2 linked regions of the Saccharomyces cerevisiae S288C genome follow. The protein of the gene in region 1 interacts with the protein of each later gene in a biochemical or structural test. Each region holds a gene or a part of one and is shown on either strand. Other genes may lie near its edges. The genes, in order: ACF2 and YSC84.

Region 1 (8,153 bases):
GCTCTAAGATTACAAAAGAGATTTTTGAACTAAATCAATCTTTGTTAAAGAAGTACCCTGAAAGAAAGGCCCCATTTATGGTTTCCACTATTGACGCTGAGAAGTATGATTTGCAGGAGAATGGTGTTTACGAATTACAGAGAATCTTATTTCAAAAATTCAATCCCACTTCATCTAAACTGATATCATGTGTCGGTACTTGGCAGTTGTACCTAAGGGACTCTGGTGACCATATTTTGCACGAATTGAAGCTGGCCCAAGAAAACGGCTATAAGCTTGGGCTGAAACTGGTTCGTGGTGCTTATATTCATTCTGAAAAAAACCGTAACCAAATTATCTTTGGCGATAAAACGGGCACTGACGAAAATTACGATCGTATCATCACTCAAGTTGTCAATGATTTAATCATCAATGGCGAGGATTCTTATTTTGGTCACTTGGTTGTCGCCTCTCATAATTACCAATCCCAAATGCTCGTTACTAATTTGCTAAAATCTACCCAAGACAACTCTTATGCCAAATCGAACATTGTGTTGGGGCAATTACTAGGTATGGCAGATAATGTTACCTATGACCTAATTACCAACCATGGCGCTAAAAACATAATCAAGTATGTCCCATGGGGCCCACCATTGGAAACTAAAGATTATCTTTTGAGAAGATTGCAAGAAAACGGGGATGCTGTGAGATCTGATAATGGCTGGCCATTAATCAAGGCCATAGCAAAGTCGATTCCAAAAAGAGTAGGCCTATGAGAGGACTATAATATATACTCCAATTTCAAAGACAAACCAAAAAACCAAAAAAAAAAAAAAGTATGCATACATAATTCTGATGTTCTAGTTATACATATTATATATAAGTAATGATAATAACACTAATAGTAAAGTAAACGCACGGATATCAAGAGTTAATATACTTGAACCACTTAAATAACAATCTGTTGGTAAAGCTTTCTTCCTATTGATTATGGGTTCGAATAGTACCAGATGTTTTGCCAATCCTAAATCGGTAGGAAAGTGGCTTGTCGTCGTCAGGCTTATTATCAACTCTTATGCACAAGAAAGGTACTCATCTTCTATAAACTACATAAGACCTGAATCTAATCAAAGGGAGAAAGCGCAGAACATCAGATTTAAAGCGGTTTTGCTTGATACACTCAGCCTTGTCTCTTTGTAAGGATTTTGGGGTACCTATGAATAATACATCTAGTAGTGTTAGTAAACCAACGTATGGGATTTTGGGATACATAGTTTTCCAGTGTTTCTTATCCGTGATAGTTTAATGGTCAGAATGGGCGCTTGTCGCGTGCCAGATCGGGGTTCAATTCCCCGTCGCGGAGAATTTTTTTAAGCTTCTATTAAAGAAGCTTTTTTTCACTTATATCTGATGGATGATGAATAGCTAGTTCAAACGGAAATCTTTGATAAAGCTATATCAAAATTCAAAGCCCAATAAGTCAGTATCATGAAGTTTATAGCATTAATATCAGGTGGGAAGGACTCGTTCTACAATATTTTTCACTGCCTGAAGAACAACCATGAATTGATTGCCCTGGGAAATATATACCCAAAAGAATCAGAAGAGCAAGAATTAGACTCTTTCATGTTCCAAACAGTAGGACATGACTTAATAGACTATTATTCTAAATGTATTGGTGTTCCACTATTTAGACGCTCAATATTACGGAACACTTCTAACAACGTCGAGTTGAATTATACTGCTACTCAGGATGATGAAATTGAAGAACTATTTGAACTTCTAAGAACTGTCAAAGATAAAATTCCAGATTTAGAAGCTGTTAGTGTAGGTGCCATCTTATCGTCTTACCAGAGGACCAGAGTGGAAAATGTTTGTTCCAGATTGGGTCTAGTAGTGCTAAGCTATTTATGGCAAAGGGATCAAGCCGAACTAATGGGTGAAATGTGCCTTATGTCCAAGGATGTTAACAATGTTGAAAACGATACTAATTCAGGAAATAAATTTGACGCCAGGATAATCAAGGTGGCAGCAATTGGATTGAACGAGAAACATTTAGGAATGTCCTTGCCTATGATGCAACCGGTGTTACAGAAACTTAACCAACTTTATCAAGTTCATATCTGTGGAGAGGGTGGGGAGTTTGAGACAATGGTCTTGGATGCCCCTTTTTTCCAACATGGATACTTGGAATTAATTGATATTGTCAAATGTAGCGATGGTGAAGTTCACAATGCAAGGTTAAAGGTAAAATTTCAACCGCGTAATTTGAGCAAAAGTTTTTTACTCAACCAATTAGATCAATTACCTGTACCTTCGATTTTTGGTAATAATTGGCAAGATTTAACCCAAAATTTGCCAAAGCAACAAGCTAAAACAGGAGAACAAAGATTTGAAAATCACATGTCGAATGCTCTACCACAAACGACAATCAATAAAACCAATGATAAGTTGTACATCTCTAACCTACAATCACGTAAAAGTGAGACGGTCGAGAAGCAAAGTGAAGATATTTTTACTGAGCTAGCCGACATTCTGCATTCCAACCAGATTCCACGGAATCATATTTTATCTGCGTCATTATTAATTAGAGATATGTCTAATTTCGGAAAAATCAACAAAATATACAATGAATTTTTAGATTTGTCAAAATACGGACCTTTGCCACCATCAAGAGCATGCGTAGGTTCGAAGTGCTTGCCAGAAGATTGTCACGTACAGTTATCAGTTGTTGTTGATGTAAAAAATACAGGCAAAGAAAAAATCAACAAGAATAAGGGCGGACTACATGTTCAAGGCCGTTCATATTGGGCTCCATGTAATATCGGACCATATTCCCAAAGTACTTGGTTAAACGATGATGCAAACCAAGTCAGTTTTATCAGTGGGCAAATCGGACTAGTACCGCAGTCAATGGAAATATTAGGAACACCTCTCACTGACCAAATAGTTTTGGCATTACAACATTTTGATACTTTGTGTGAAACAATAGGAGCTCAAGAAAAGTTACTCATGACATGCTATATTTCAGACGAATCGGTTCTCGACTCTGTCATCAAAACATGGGCGTTTTATTGTTCAAATATGAATCATAGATCAGATCTATGGATGGACAAATCTGATGATGTTGAAAAATGCCTAGTTCTTGTAAAGATTTCTGAATTACCTAGAGGCGCTGTTGCAGAATTTGGTGGTGTTACTTGTAAGAGATTAATAGTGGACGATAATGATTCCGACAAGAAAGAAAGGGAAGAGAATGATGATGTTTCAACCGTATTCCAGAAATTGAATTTGAATATTGAAGGTTTTCATAACACTACAGTTAGTGCGTTTGGATATAATAGAAACTTTATTACGGGATTTGTAGATAGTAGAGAGGAGTTAGAACTTATCTTGGAAAAAACCCCAAAATCAGCCCAGATTACCCTCTATTATAATCCCAAAGAAATCATCACTTTCCACCATCACATTGGATACTATCCGGTGGAGAAACTTTTTGATTACCGTGGTAAAGAACACCGCTTTGGGTTGCATATTCGTTCCTAACTCCAAATGTAGGCCTTATATTTTATAAACTTAATAGATATACGCTGTCCACGCTCCTGGCGGTGTAAATGATAGACAGATCCCAAATATGTTAGCAAATCATAGGAACAACACCATATTGTGAACACGTAAAATTTAGAATACGCCGCACAATTAAGGTGTGTTCTGTAATAATTTGATTATTGATGATGGTTTAGGAACCAATATTCATATAAAAAAATGATCATTCTATAAAATACCTTATCGTAACACTTGTACCATGCTACTAACACTGTATATATTTCTGACCCCTAAGAAAAAGCACCTGAATAAGCTAAAGACCAAGTTAAGCTTTGCCCATTGTCTAGGAAATTTCTGTTGAAATCAGGTTGGCTGAAAAAGTCGTACGAAAATTTTGGATCAAGCAGAGCCATATTTAACATGATTATTCCTTTCCAACCGTCATTCACTTGATCAATTATCGGCTGCATTTTTTCTTCCCACTCCTCTTTGACAAAATTTGGTGTTCTGACCCATGAAGATGCTGATGTTATAGGAATGGCGTGAATCATATGAATGTATTGAGGCTCCATGCCAAAATACGTGGCGTGATCAATTTTATTTTCGAATAAAATACCACTAACTTTATTACCAATAAATTCTTTCGGTTGGACAGTATTATTGCTTTCGTATAGGAAGTAGCTCTGGAAAACATTTCTCATGATGCCGAGTTGTAAGTTCGCTATGTCAGTTAACTTAGAATTTCCAGTTACCAACCCCCACAATTTTATCGCATAGCAAGAATTGACATCTTCTGAAGTAGATTCTTCATCTTTACCGTCACCACTTGGAAATAGTCCTTTGGCCCATGAATGGCCATTAAACCAATCAAATGACCTAAATTGAGGGAAGTACGGATCATCGTTGTCAACACCAGAGTAATCTCTAATTAAGCACTCAACCCAATCTCTATTATTTTCTAACCAGGAGTTGTTAGTAACTCCACTTAAATCAGAATCGACTAAAGAGATAATGGCAGCCGTTATGACATGATAAGAGTAATGAAAATGATGATCATTATAATAAGAGTTACCAAAGTCTTGGCTAGAAGAGCCTGATGAAATTATGCCTTTCCAACTAACGTCGTAATTTAAAGGTAAGACTTGCTGATTGCTGATGAATCTCTCCATTGCAATAGTCAGTTTAGATAATAATTCTTTTGTTAAATTTTCATCATGAAGGATGTAATGTGTCACATAAAGAATCCACGCATACTTTGCAAGTATCTTACCAGAGAAATACATAGAATCTATGTTTGATTCTTGTTGAGGGTCACTCAATTGAACTTCTTGAACAGCAGCTTCCCGAATTTTAGATAGCTTTTCTTGACTGTAATCTGCCTTCTTATTCAAAGATAACGCGACAGGTTCAAAGCCCAATTCTTGAGGTACTTGAACCTGCATATCAAAACTGTTTGTGAGATAACCAGTCATTAAGCCTTTAACTGTGGAATCCAGGCTTGAGGCAATTTCACGTTCCTGCATTTCTGGTGTGAATGCCGCTTTATGATGTGGTAAAGCATACATTAGAGTAGTTCCAGACTGCGAGTAGCCTGCAACCGTATAGTTAAATCTGTAATTTGTGAAATGTTCATCAACAGTTTGCCCTGATAGGTCACAGTATACTGGATAACAGCCCGCTGCCATGTCAATACTGGGGACGGAGTCTGCAGATAATTGACAGATAAGACCATTGATTTTATGAGATGATATTATTGTATTGCTGTCGAGTAATGAAATTTGAAAATCTTGTGGAAAAGAGTAATCAGGTGAGGTCAAATAAAGTATCCAATTCCTATTATTCTCAAGTTGTATATTATATTTACCATATCTTTCATTCACGCTTATGCGCTCTAAGCTCCTGAAACCAACGGCGCTTCTTAATTCAAAACCCAAATCGTGGTAAATAGCCGTGACAAAGCCCATCCCCTGAACCAGCGGGAATTCTATAAACTGGGAACTACTCAAAGACATTAGTAAGCACATGGACATATGTTTCATATCCCGGAATTCAAGCTTGATATCATTTGAAGAGACAAATTCCCTGGCCTTGAATACAAATGATTTTATATTTGTGGGATTGAAGTAGAATCTGGGAGGATTTGTAGTTGTATCAAAAACCCTTTGAGACGCTAAAGTATGATTGGCGGCCAAACCAAACAATTCTGGATCACGAGAAAACCAAATTGAATAAGGATGTGTCCATATAGGTTGTGTATTATCGTCTAATAACATGTTTGTGTAGAACTTGTTTGTCTCCAATGGATCAACAGATTGATCATCAATATTCGGCTTTGGTACCGGGTGTTGAACTTTGTTGAAGACGGAAGGAGGAGCTTTTAAGTTAGAAAGGACAGGTGATTGAAAAATATTGTCACTATTCACCTGGCTGTCAGCTAAAGGGTTAGAACTGCTTGGTGTGCGCAGTGATTCACCTGCCACCCTATTTTCTCGAGGTTTACTGGAGTTCTCAGAAGAACAAACTGGTGGCTGAACATTTGCGCGAGGTGGTAAGGGAGGAGGTCCTCTATTGGTAGTACCGCCAGGTCTATTAGGAACAGGTGGAGGAATGGCTTGCCTACTGTAACACATCTTTTTACTTCTCGTATTTATTTATTTTTGTTTTTATGATACTAGCACTTTTCAGAAATTCATGAATTTTATTTATGGTTCCAAGAAAAAAACTTCAAAGAAATGAGTACTAGAATGATATATCCACAAAAAAAAAAAGAGCAGAAACAAAATGGATGAGATGGATAATGTGATACGATCTCTGGAGCAAGAATATCGGTTAATATTGCTCTTGAACCATAGGAACAAAAATCAACATAGAGCGGCTAGCTGGTATGGATCGTTCAATGAGATGAAAAGAAATTGTGGACAAATAATAACGCTTTTTAGCTCGAGAAGATTACAAGCCAAACGCCTTAAAGATGTTGAATGGGTCAAGTTGCACAGGCTATTACAGAGAGCACTTTTTAGACAGTTAAAGAGATGGTACTGGCAGTTCAATGGCGTAATTGCGCTGGGACAATTTGTAACGTTGGGTTGTACACTAGTAACATTGCTGGCAAATGTGAGGGCACTGTATATGAGATTATGGGAGATTAATGAAACTGAGTTTATAAGATGTGGATGCTTAATAAAGAACTTACCGAGAACAAAAGCAAAATCGGTTGTGAACGATGTCGAAGAACTTGGAGAAATTATAGATGAAGATATTGGCAACAACGTTCAAGAAAACGAACTAGTGATAACGTCTATACCAAAGCCTCTGACAGAGAACTGTAAGAAGAAAAAGAAAAGGAAAAAGAAGAACAAATCAGCCATTGATGGCATATTCGGATAAATATACAAGTAAATAGACTTTTTAAAATAATAATATCAATGCTAATAAATCATTCATTAATGACCTTGTCTGCCCAAGTAGGCAAAACAAACGCACTAGAATGTATTTGAGGATTATAGTACTTCAGCTTCCCTTGTTCTTGCTCAGATATCTTTCTTTGCGGAATGTTCAACGGTATATTGGCGTTATTACTGCAAACAATTAAACCTAATTGGCCAGATGTATAGGTTGGAACCATGGTATAGCAATATTCTGTATTAGGAAATACCTTTTTGGCTGTATTTTTCAAATCATGTAAGTATTTTAAATTTAACCAAAAATTTTCAGAGCTTTGCATAATAACAACGCCATTAGGATTTAAAGCATCTTTCAATAGTTCGAAATACCTCTCTTGAAAAAACGCTTCAGCTGGACCTTCAGGATCAGAACTATCTGTAATAATGACGTCAAATTTCTTATGGACGTCGGAAGCACCTATATCTTGTAAGAACTTGAAGCCATCGCAAAGTTTCAAGTCCAACCTTTCGTCATCGAAAGCACCATTACTCAATGTGGGCAAGAACTTACGGGATAATTCGATCACTGATGAGTCAATTTCTACCATAGTGATATCTTCTACACAGCTGTGCTTGGCTACTTCCCTTAAGACACCTCCGTCCCCACCGCCAATGATAAGTACACGCTTGGGATTAGAATGCGCAAACATGGCAATGTGGGTGATCATCTCTTGATAGGCAAACTCATCAAATTCCGTACATTGGACAATACCATCGAGGACCAAAACAGTACCGTATACCTTGTTACGGAAGATTAAGATGTCCTGAAATTCACTGCGGGCTTCATAAAGTATTGAGTCCACGGTCATAGTAAAGGCCTGGCCCGGAAAACTTTTATCATTAATCTCTCTAAACCATCCATCTTTGATGTAAGGATGCTGTGAATTATTAACCATAATGTATAACTGAATCTGTCACTTTATCCTGCCTGTCTCATCGGCGTTTTGATATTTTATTTTTAACTAAAATCAGCAGCAACTTGAAAAATTTTGAGATAACCTTAAAAAGGATCTAGCAATAAAGAGAAGCTCGAAGTAGCCATGGACACTGAAGAGAAAAAAAAGACTACAGCGTCAGTAGAGCATGCCCGGATGTTGCAAAATGAAATACAACAGTTATTTGCTCAGTTGCGGGATACGAATTCTCAAATTCGCTGCGATCTTAACGAGTTTGAACAAATAAAGG
Region 2 (7,081 bases), on another chromosome or scaffold:
TTCCAGCTTTAAAGGGCTTGGTTGAAGTTCTAATTAAGAGGGCCGAAGGTGAGATAGATGTCTTAATGCCAGGCTACACACATTTACAAAGGGCACAACCTATTAGATGGTCTCATTGGTTGAGCTCTTATGCAACATACTTCACCGAAGATTACAAGAGACTGGGTCAAATACTACACAGATTGAATCAATCACCACTGGGTGCAGGCGCTCTTGCTGGTCATCCTTACGGCATTGATAGAGAATTTTTGGCTGAAGGTTTGGGTTTCAATAGTGTAATTGGTAACTCCTTGGTTGCTGTTTCTGATAGAGATTTCATCGTGGAGTTGATGTTTTGGGGAACTTTGTTCATGAACCATATTTCTCGTTTTGCTGAAGATTTGATTATATATTGTACAGCAGAATTTGGTTTCATACAGTTGAGCGACGCCTATTCAACAGGTTCTTCTTTAATGCCTCAGAAGAAGAATGCAGACTCGTTAGAGTTGTTAAGAGGTAAATCCGGTAGAGTATTTGGTGATCTGACAGGATTCTTGATGAGTTTGAAGGGTATCCCATCTACTTATGATAAAGACATGCAAGAAGACAAAGAGCCACTATTCGATTGCTTAACAACTGTAGAGCACTCCATGCTGATTGCCACAGGTGTTATTTCTACCTTAACTGTAAATAAGGAAAAGATGGAAGCTGCTCTCACGATGGATATGCTAGCTACCGACTTGGCAGATTACTTGGTCAGAAAGGGTGTTCCATTCAGAGAGACTCATCACATATCTGGTGAGTGTGTCGCTACTGCTGAAAGACTTGGTCTAAGCGGTATTGATAAATTAACCTTGGAGCAGTATCAAAAGATCGATTCGAGATTCGGACAAGATCTTTTTGAAACTTTTAACTTTGAACAAAGCGTTGAAAGACGAGATGCTACTGGTGGAACCGCTAAATCTGCTGTATTGAAGCAATTGGATAATTTGAAATCCCAATTAAATTAGCAGATGGCGACGTTATGCGCAAGAATTTCATCAGGTCTGGTACTTCTAGGACTTCATCAACCCTTCTTTAAATACTTATTTTGTTATTAGTATTATATTTTCGAGATTGTGCTATGTATATATATACGTAGATAAGCAATTGTTATCTAATCAAGGATATTATTTGGATGATTTAGAAGATGACCGGCAAAAAAACGAAATAATGCTGCTATATACCTTGGCTAATCTTCCTCTCAAGCGTTTCAGGGAAAGACGTGTGTGATGGTTGAATATAAGTGAAGCAAATGGCCATGAGACTAAATAACTAAAACGGCCGCAATAATACACACTATTGTAACCTCCCAAAGTCGTTAACCAACTTAGCAGTTGTCTTAGTTTATACCCATTCGCACTCATTATCATTTTGTAAACTGGATAATGTAGGGCCTCGTGAATGTCTGAACCGGCCATTCTCAAAAATTTATAGTTCGATGGTTGTGACCCAATCTGCAGGATTCCAAGCTTGATTGTGGAAACATTTAACCTTTGATATTCCTTGAAAATTTTAAATAGTGAGTCGATTATTCCAGACGTTATAATTTCTGTACTATGATGGACTAAGTTCAGGTCCGCAGTCAAAGATGGATTGAACATAATTAGTTGGGTTTTTCTCTTCAAATGGGGTATAATGCTTAATAATGCTTGATAATACACAAATATACTTGAATGAATTTCAGATTCCAATGAGTCACATGAAATTACTCCGGATGGATGATATGATAACCTTGGCATAAACAATATGGATGCTAGCCTTGGTACATCAACAAAAAAACCCTCGAAGTCTTTTTCGCAGGTGGGATCAATGTAATATATGAAATCCTGATCTTCTTCGTGCTTCTTATAGACGTCTGCATTTTCAGTACAAATATATACTGTAAACCGTCTGCGATATAAATCCATCACTTGATTCCTTATGATAGGATCATTCATATCGCCCAGTATTAATACCACTTGAGATTCTGCTTCAGGTAAATTAGGTGGCAGTTTAAAAAAGGTCCTATACCCAAGGTATAAGCACAGGGAGGTGGCAGAAATTCCCAAGCCTAGCTTCCAATGATCCTGGAGCCCGATCCTCAAAGTTTTATATACTTTAGATCTGTTACTGTCGTTTTCCTGTAGTCGAGGAGTCTCCTTGTTGGATATCTTTCCAGATATGGATTCAATTGATTTTTCGACGTGGTTCTTGATCTCATCGCTCAAGACAGCGCTTTTCGAGACGAGCCAATACCCAGCATCAAATATCTGATCCACTATATCCTTACCACCAGACCAAGCCATTTTTATTTGTTTTTTTGAGAGCAAATATCTTCTGTTGTCTGTTTTATATTTCCTGTTTGTATGCCACCTACAACATTTTTACATGTTCCGACGCTGACCGAAAACGACCTGAAGGGAATTAAAGTTGACTACCCCCTAACTAGACCCTGTTCTTAACATTATCTATAACATGAAACTATCTTACACTTCACAGTAAAATTTTCAAGAGTAGTGGTAATATCAAATCCAAAATCCAAAAATGGGTATCAATAATCCAATTCCTCGAAGCTTGAAAAGCGAGACCAAGTATGTTCATATATATGCTTCCTGCTGCCCCTCCTCTAAACTTATGGATGCAGCTAAAATGTTCAAGATAGCTCTCTAGTCTGTGTCCATTGCTTATGGGGCATGAGTTTTCAAAAGTAATGTACTAACAACTTTATGATTGATTTATTTCGAATGTTTTAACTACAGGAAGGCCGCGAAAGTTCTAAGGAGTTTTGTTAAACCAAATCAAGTATTTGGAGCAGACCAAGTTATTCCACCATATGTGCTAAAAAGAGCTAAAGGTCTAGCAATTATCACGGTTTTAAAGGCTGGCTTCTTGTTTTCAGGGAGAGCAGGTTCTGGGGTGATTGTGGCCAGGTTAAAAGACGGTACATGGTCGGCTCCCTCTGCTATCGCTATGGCAGGTGCTGGTGCAGGTGGTATGGTCGGCGTTGAATTGACAGATTTTGTTTTTATTTTAAATTCGGAAGAGGCAGTGAGGTCCTTTTCTGAATTTGGTACAATTACTTTAGGTGGTAATGTGTCAGTTTCCGCAGGTCCTCTTGGAAGAAGTGCAGAAGCTGCAGCTTCTGCATCCACAGGTGGTGTCTCGGCAGTTTTTGCCTATTCCAAAAGCAAAGGTTTATTTGCCGGTGTGTCTGTGGAAGGTTCAGCCATCTTGGAGAGAAGGGAAGCTAATCGAAAGTTTTACGGCGATAACTGTACATCAAAGATGATTTTGTCAGGTAGAGTAAAAGTTCCACCAGCAGCAGACCCCCTACTCCGTATCTTGGAATCAAGAGCGTTCAACTTTACACGCCACGACCATGATGACAACGCTAGCGGTGATGATTTTTATGATGACGGTCAATACAGCGACAACACAAGCCATTATTACGACGATATTCCAGATTCCTTTGATTCTACTGATGAATCCTCAACACGTCCAAACACAAGATCATCAAGAAGAAGAGGAATGTCGCTGGGGTCACGCAGTCGTTATGATGATGATTATGATGATGATGGTTACGGACGTGGTCGCGGGTATGGAGATTTTGATAGCGAAGATGAAGATTATGATTACGGAAGATCTCCAAATAGAAACAGCAGCCGCAATAGAGGCCCACAGATAGATAGGGGTACTAAGCCGCGTGCGAATACCCGATGGGAAGATGATTTGTATGATAGAGATACTGAATACTCCCGTCCCAACCATTCCGGTAGGGATTATGATAATACCCGAGGAAATAGGCGTGGTTATGGTAGAGAAAGGGGTTATAGCCTTGGTCATGGCCCAACTCACCCCAGCAATATGAGCAATGTCGATGATTTATCACATAAAATGTCGAAGACAGGGTTAGGTAATGAATCCACTGCTACAAATTCGGCGACACCAACGGCTGTTGCTCTCTACAATTTTGCTGGAGAACAACCAGGCGACTTGGCTTTCAAAAAAGGTGATGTTATTACTATCTTAAAAAAATCAGATTCTCAAAATGATTGGTGGACAGGCAGGACTAACGGAAAAGAAGGAATATTCCCTGCAAACTACGTTAGAGTTTCTTAAATTATCGTCCTCCATATGTCTCGTTCCTATATATAGAATTTTTTTTTAGAGTTATGAAGTTGAGGATGGGTTCCTTATTCAGCTATGTTTACGAAATGTTTGTAGTTATATAATCACAATGGAAAGCTTCGAGGAACCACTTCTTAAGTACTCACTTAGTAGGTGGAGTATTTCTTGAAACTGGACTATACGCCATTAAACTAAAAAAAAATCGAGGCTGAAACTCCTTGGAATAATTCTGGGTAGATTAAGATAGCAAAGAAAACAATACTCTATTTTTATAGACATACGTACTTTTGTACCGAAAATTGCATATTGATGAACCTGCCTTCTTCCTTTAAAAGGAATCAAACTGTAAATCCGAGGCTTTCAGCAGCTCTAGTGACTTGTTTTTGTAGAATTTTCTGTGATTCTAATGAAGTATTTGTCATTAATAAAAAGTGCGATAGCCTTTCTGAGTCATGCTCCCAAAATACGTCAAAAATAAACTCGGAAATGCTGCGCAGATTTTCTTCTTTATTTAAACCAGAAATACTTATACGTTGTAAATTTCTGTTTATAATTTTTTTTAAGGACTCAAGTATTTCTGCATTCTCCTGTTTAGTTCTCTTAGGCTGATGCAGTTTTTCGTCAACAGTATTTGTAATTAAATTAAATGCTGGATGAGGTTTCATCGGCGTAGCTACGAGAGAGTTCATGTTTGTGTAGGAATTTGAATATGATGAGAATGGGGAAACTACTTGTTGAAACTGTGACGTTAATCCCTTTTGATGAGCTGATAACTCTTGTGTGCGGAAACGCATCATGGAACTAATGTTGATTAATTTCTTATAATTTTCATTGTTGTTACCATCGTCATAGTCTATCTCATTTAGTATATTATCATTATTCTTTGACCATGATGCCTCAACCAAACTACTTCCAATTAGTCTCCTATCCAAAATATTAAATAATCTCTCAGCATCACTACGAGAAAAACACTCAACATGTCCACAAAATGTCCAATTTAATGAGTTATAGTTTGTGATCTTAATTTCACTGAATCTTATTTTTTCTTGTAAACATAGTTGAGAAATAAACTCCTTATTGCAATTGAAGCTTAAATTTTTTAGATAAACCTTTGTTTTCTTGTTCGTTCCAATTTGATTATGAACAGGCTTATCTTTACCAGGACCAACCCAAATGGTATGGTTTTTAAAAATTGTTTTATTCAAACATTTCTGTGCCTTTTTAGATTCTTCTTCATTTTTATATGTGACGAACGCTTTATGTGGTGTGTTCGCCTGCTTTTCAGAGATGAATACAGATTTTATGGGGCCAATAGTGCTGAAGTAATCCAAGACCTCTTCTTGTGTTGTGTCAGATGGTAAATTTTTGACTAATATTGTTTTCGAACGAGCATTATCTGATAAATTATTGCTAGCCAATAGTTCGTCTTCGATAACTATGTCGGAGCCAATCATTTTTTTTCTTTTTGTAAATTCAGGTCTAGTTCTTACTTCTTTGTCAAAATGCAATCCACATATAATTTTATTTCCAAAAAATTCTTGGTTATTGTATTTTTTGATTACATTTCTAGCAGAAATATCGTTATCGAAATAAACGAACCCAATGTTTTTTCTTCTTTCTAGAAGACATGACAGTACATTTCCGTACTCGATCATTATTAGATAAAATGATCTTGTGGTCAGTTGGGGATTTTCCAGTGGTAAGTTAGAGAAAAAAACATTTGTTCCGATGTTTTTTCTAAATAATGTATTTTTCATAGATGGCATTATTTTAACTTCTTGACCAAAAAAAACCGTATAATTAAATTCTTTCCTTGCAGATTCTGCATCGTTTTTATCCTTGAAATTCAAATAGCCATAACCCAATGATTTTTTGGTGAGAAAATCACGACACACTTTAGCAGATTCAAAAGATTGATACCTTTTGAATATCTTCCTTAGCATTTCTTCAGTGACAGTTGATTTCAGATTTCCTATAAACAAACTATTTGTCTTTGAAGTTTTCGTGATATATTTTTGCACGCTTCCCTTTGCAACAGTTTTTTCAAATACTTGCTCTTGTTCTTTCTTTTCTTGAGTTGCATTTTTACAATCGTATTTTTTGAGGCTATTCTTTTCTTTGACTTCAGCATCCTTTAATTTCACATCACCGAGCTTATATCCAGCTCCTTGCACGCGTACTAGTGCTTGGGCTGATATCGTTTTGAAGCTTTTCTGCCTTGCATCTTTATCATTTGGGCAACTTTTAGAAATCGATCTGGGATTTTGCTTGCTATTTAAAGAGATATTATTCAATACATTACCATGAGAGTTTGGCATCTTTTTTTAGGGAATTTTTCGTATTTCTGCTTTTATTGACTTGGATAATTCATTATGTTAAGTAAGCTCTAATTGCTAAAAATGCCATAAAAAGAAAACTTATTGGAAAAGGACCGCCATTTCGAACGGAATTTGTGACACAAGTTCATTTTAGCAAAAAAAGGTCCTACCCGGATTCGAACCGGGGTTGTCCGGATCAAAACCGAAAGTGATAACCACTACACTATAGGACCGGAACTTACTGGTCGATCTGAAAATCATGATCGAATACGTCATCCTTGCATTACCCAAAATCAATCAATTTTTAATGAAATACATCAAATTTTGATTGTTGTTATGAAACTTCAAAATATCATCCGTTTATTAGTACTCACGCTACTAGTTTATTGTCAAATAAGTTGTAAGAAGATGGCATAAACATTGAGAAACAGTCATCAATTCTAATGAAAGCAGAAATGCAAGGATTGACAATGTAATAGGGTAATGAAAAATATAGAACGGAAGGAGAAATAATCATAATAACCTTATGTCGAAATACAGATTCTGAGAATTAGGTGAATTTTGAGATAATTGTTGGGATTCCATTTTTGATAAAGGCTATTATATTAGGTATACACAATATACTAGAAGTTCTC

Evidence for each region.
Region 2: the proteins of ACF2 (region 1) and YSC84 interact in a test that uses a peptide from one of them, tested with the Saccharomyces cerevisiae proteins (one study listed by BioGRID).

The regions. Positions count from the first base shown.
Region 1 is NC_001144.5:425,862-434,014, forward strand, and holds ACF2 (endo-1,3(4)-beta-glucanase), read right to left. Parts: upstream 6,156-8,153; coding exon 3,816-6,155; downstream 1-3,815. Other genes in the region: PUT1 (proline dehydrogenase), read left to right, coding at 1-755; DPH6 (diphthine--ammonia ligase), read left to right, coding at 1,468-3,525; RMP1 (Rmp1p), read left to right, coding at 6,307-6,912; SPE4 (spermine synthase), read right to left, coding at 6,962-7,864; YLR146W-A (uncharacterized protein), read left to right, coding at 8,009-8,153. UniProt on the Saccharomyces cerevisiae protein: Cleaves internal linkages in 1,3-beta-glucan.
Region 2 is NC_001140.6:133,919-140,999, reverse strand, and holds YSC84 (Ysc84p), read left to right. Parts: upstream 1-2,544; coding exon 2,545-2,591; intron 2,592-2,759; coding exon 2,760-4,119; downstream 4,120-7,081. Other genes in the region: argininosuccinate lyase ARG4, read left to right, coding at 1-989; YSC83 (Ysc83p), read right to left, coding at 1,149-2,306; MIP6 (Mip6p), read right to left, coding at 4,467-6,446. UniProt on the Saccharomyces cerevisiae protein: Essential for the organization of the actin cytoskeleton, fluid phase endocytosis and vesicle trafficking, together with LSB5.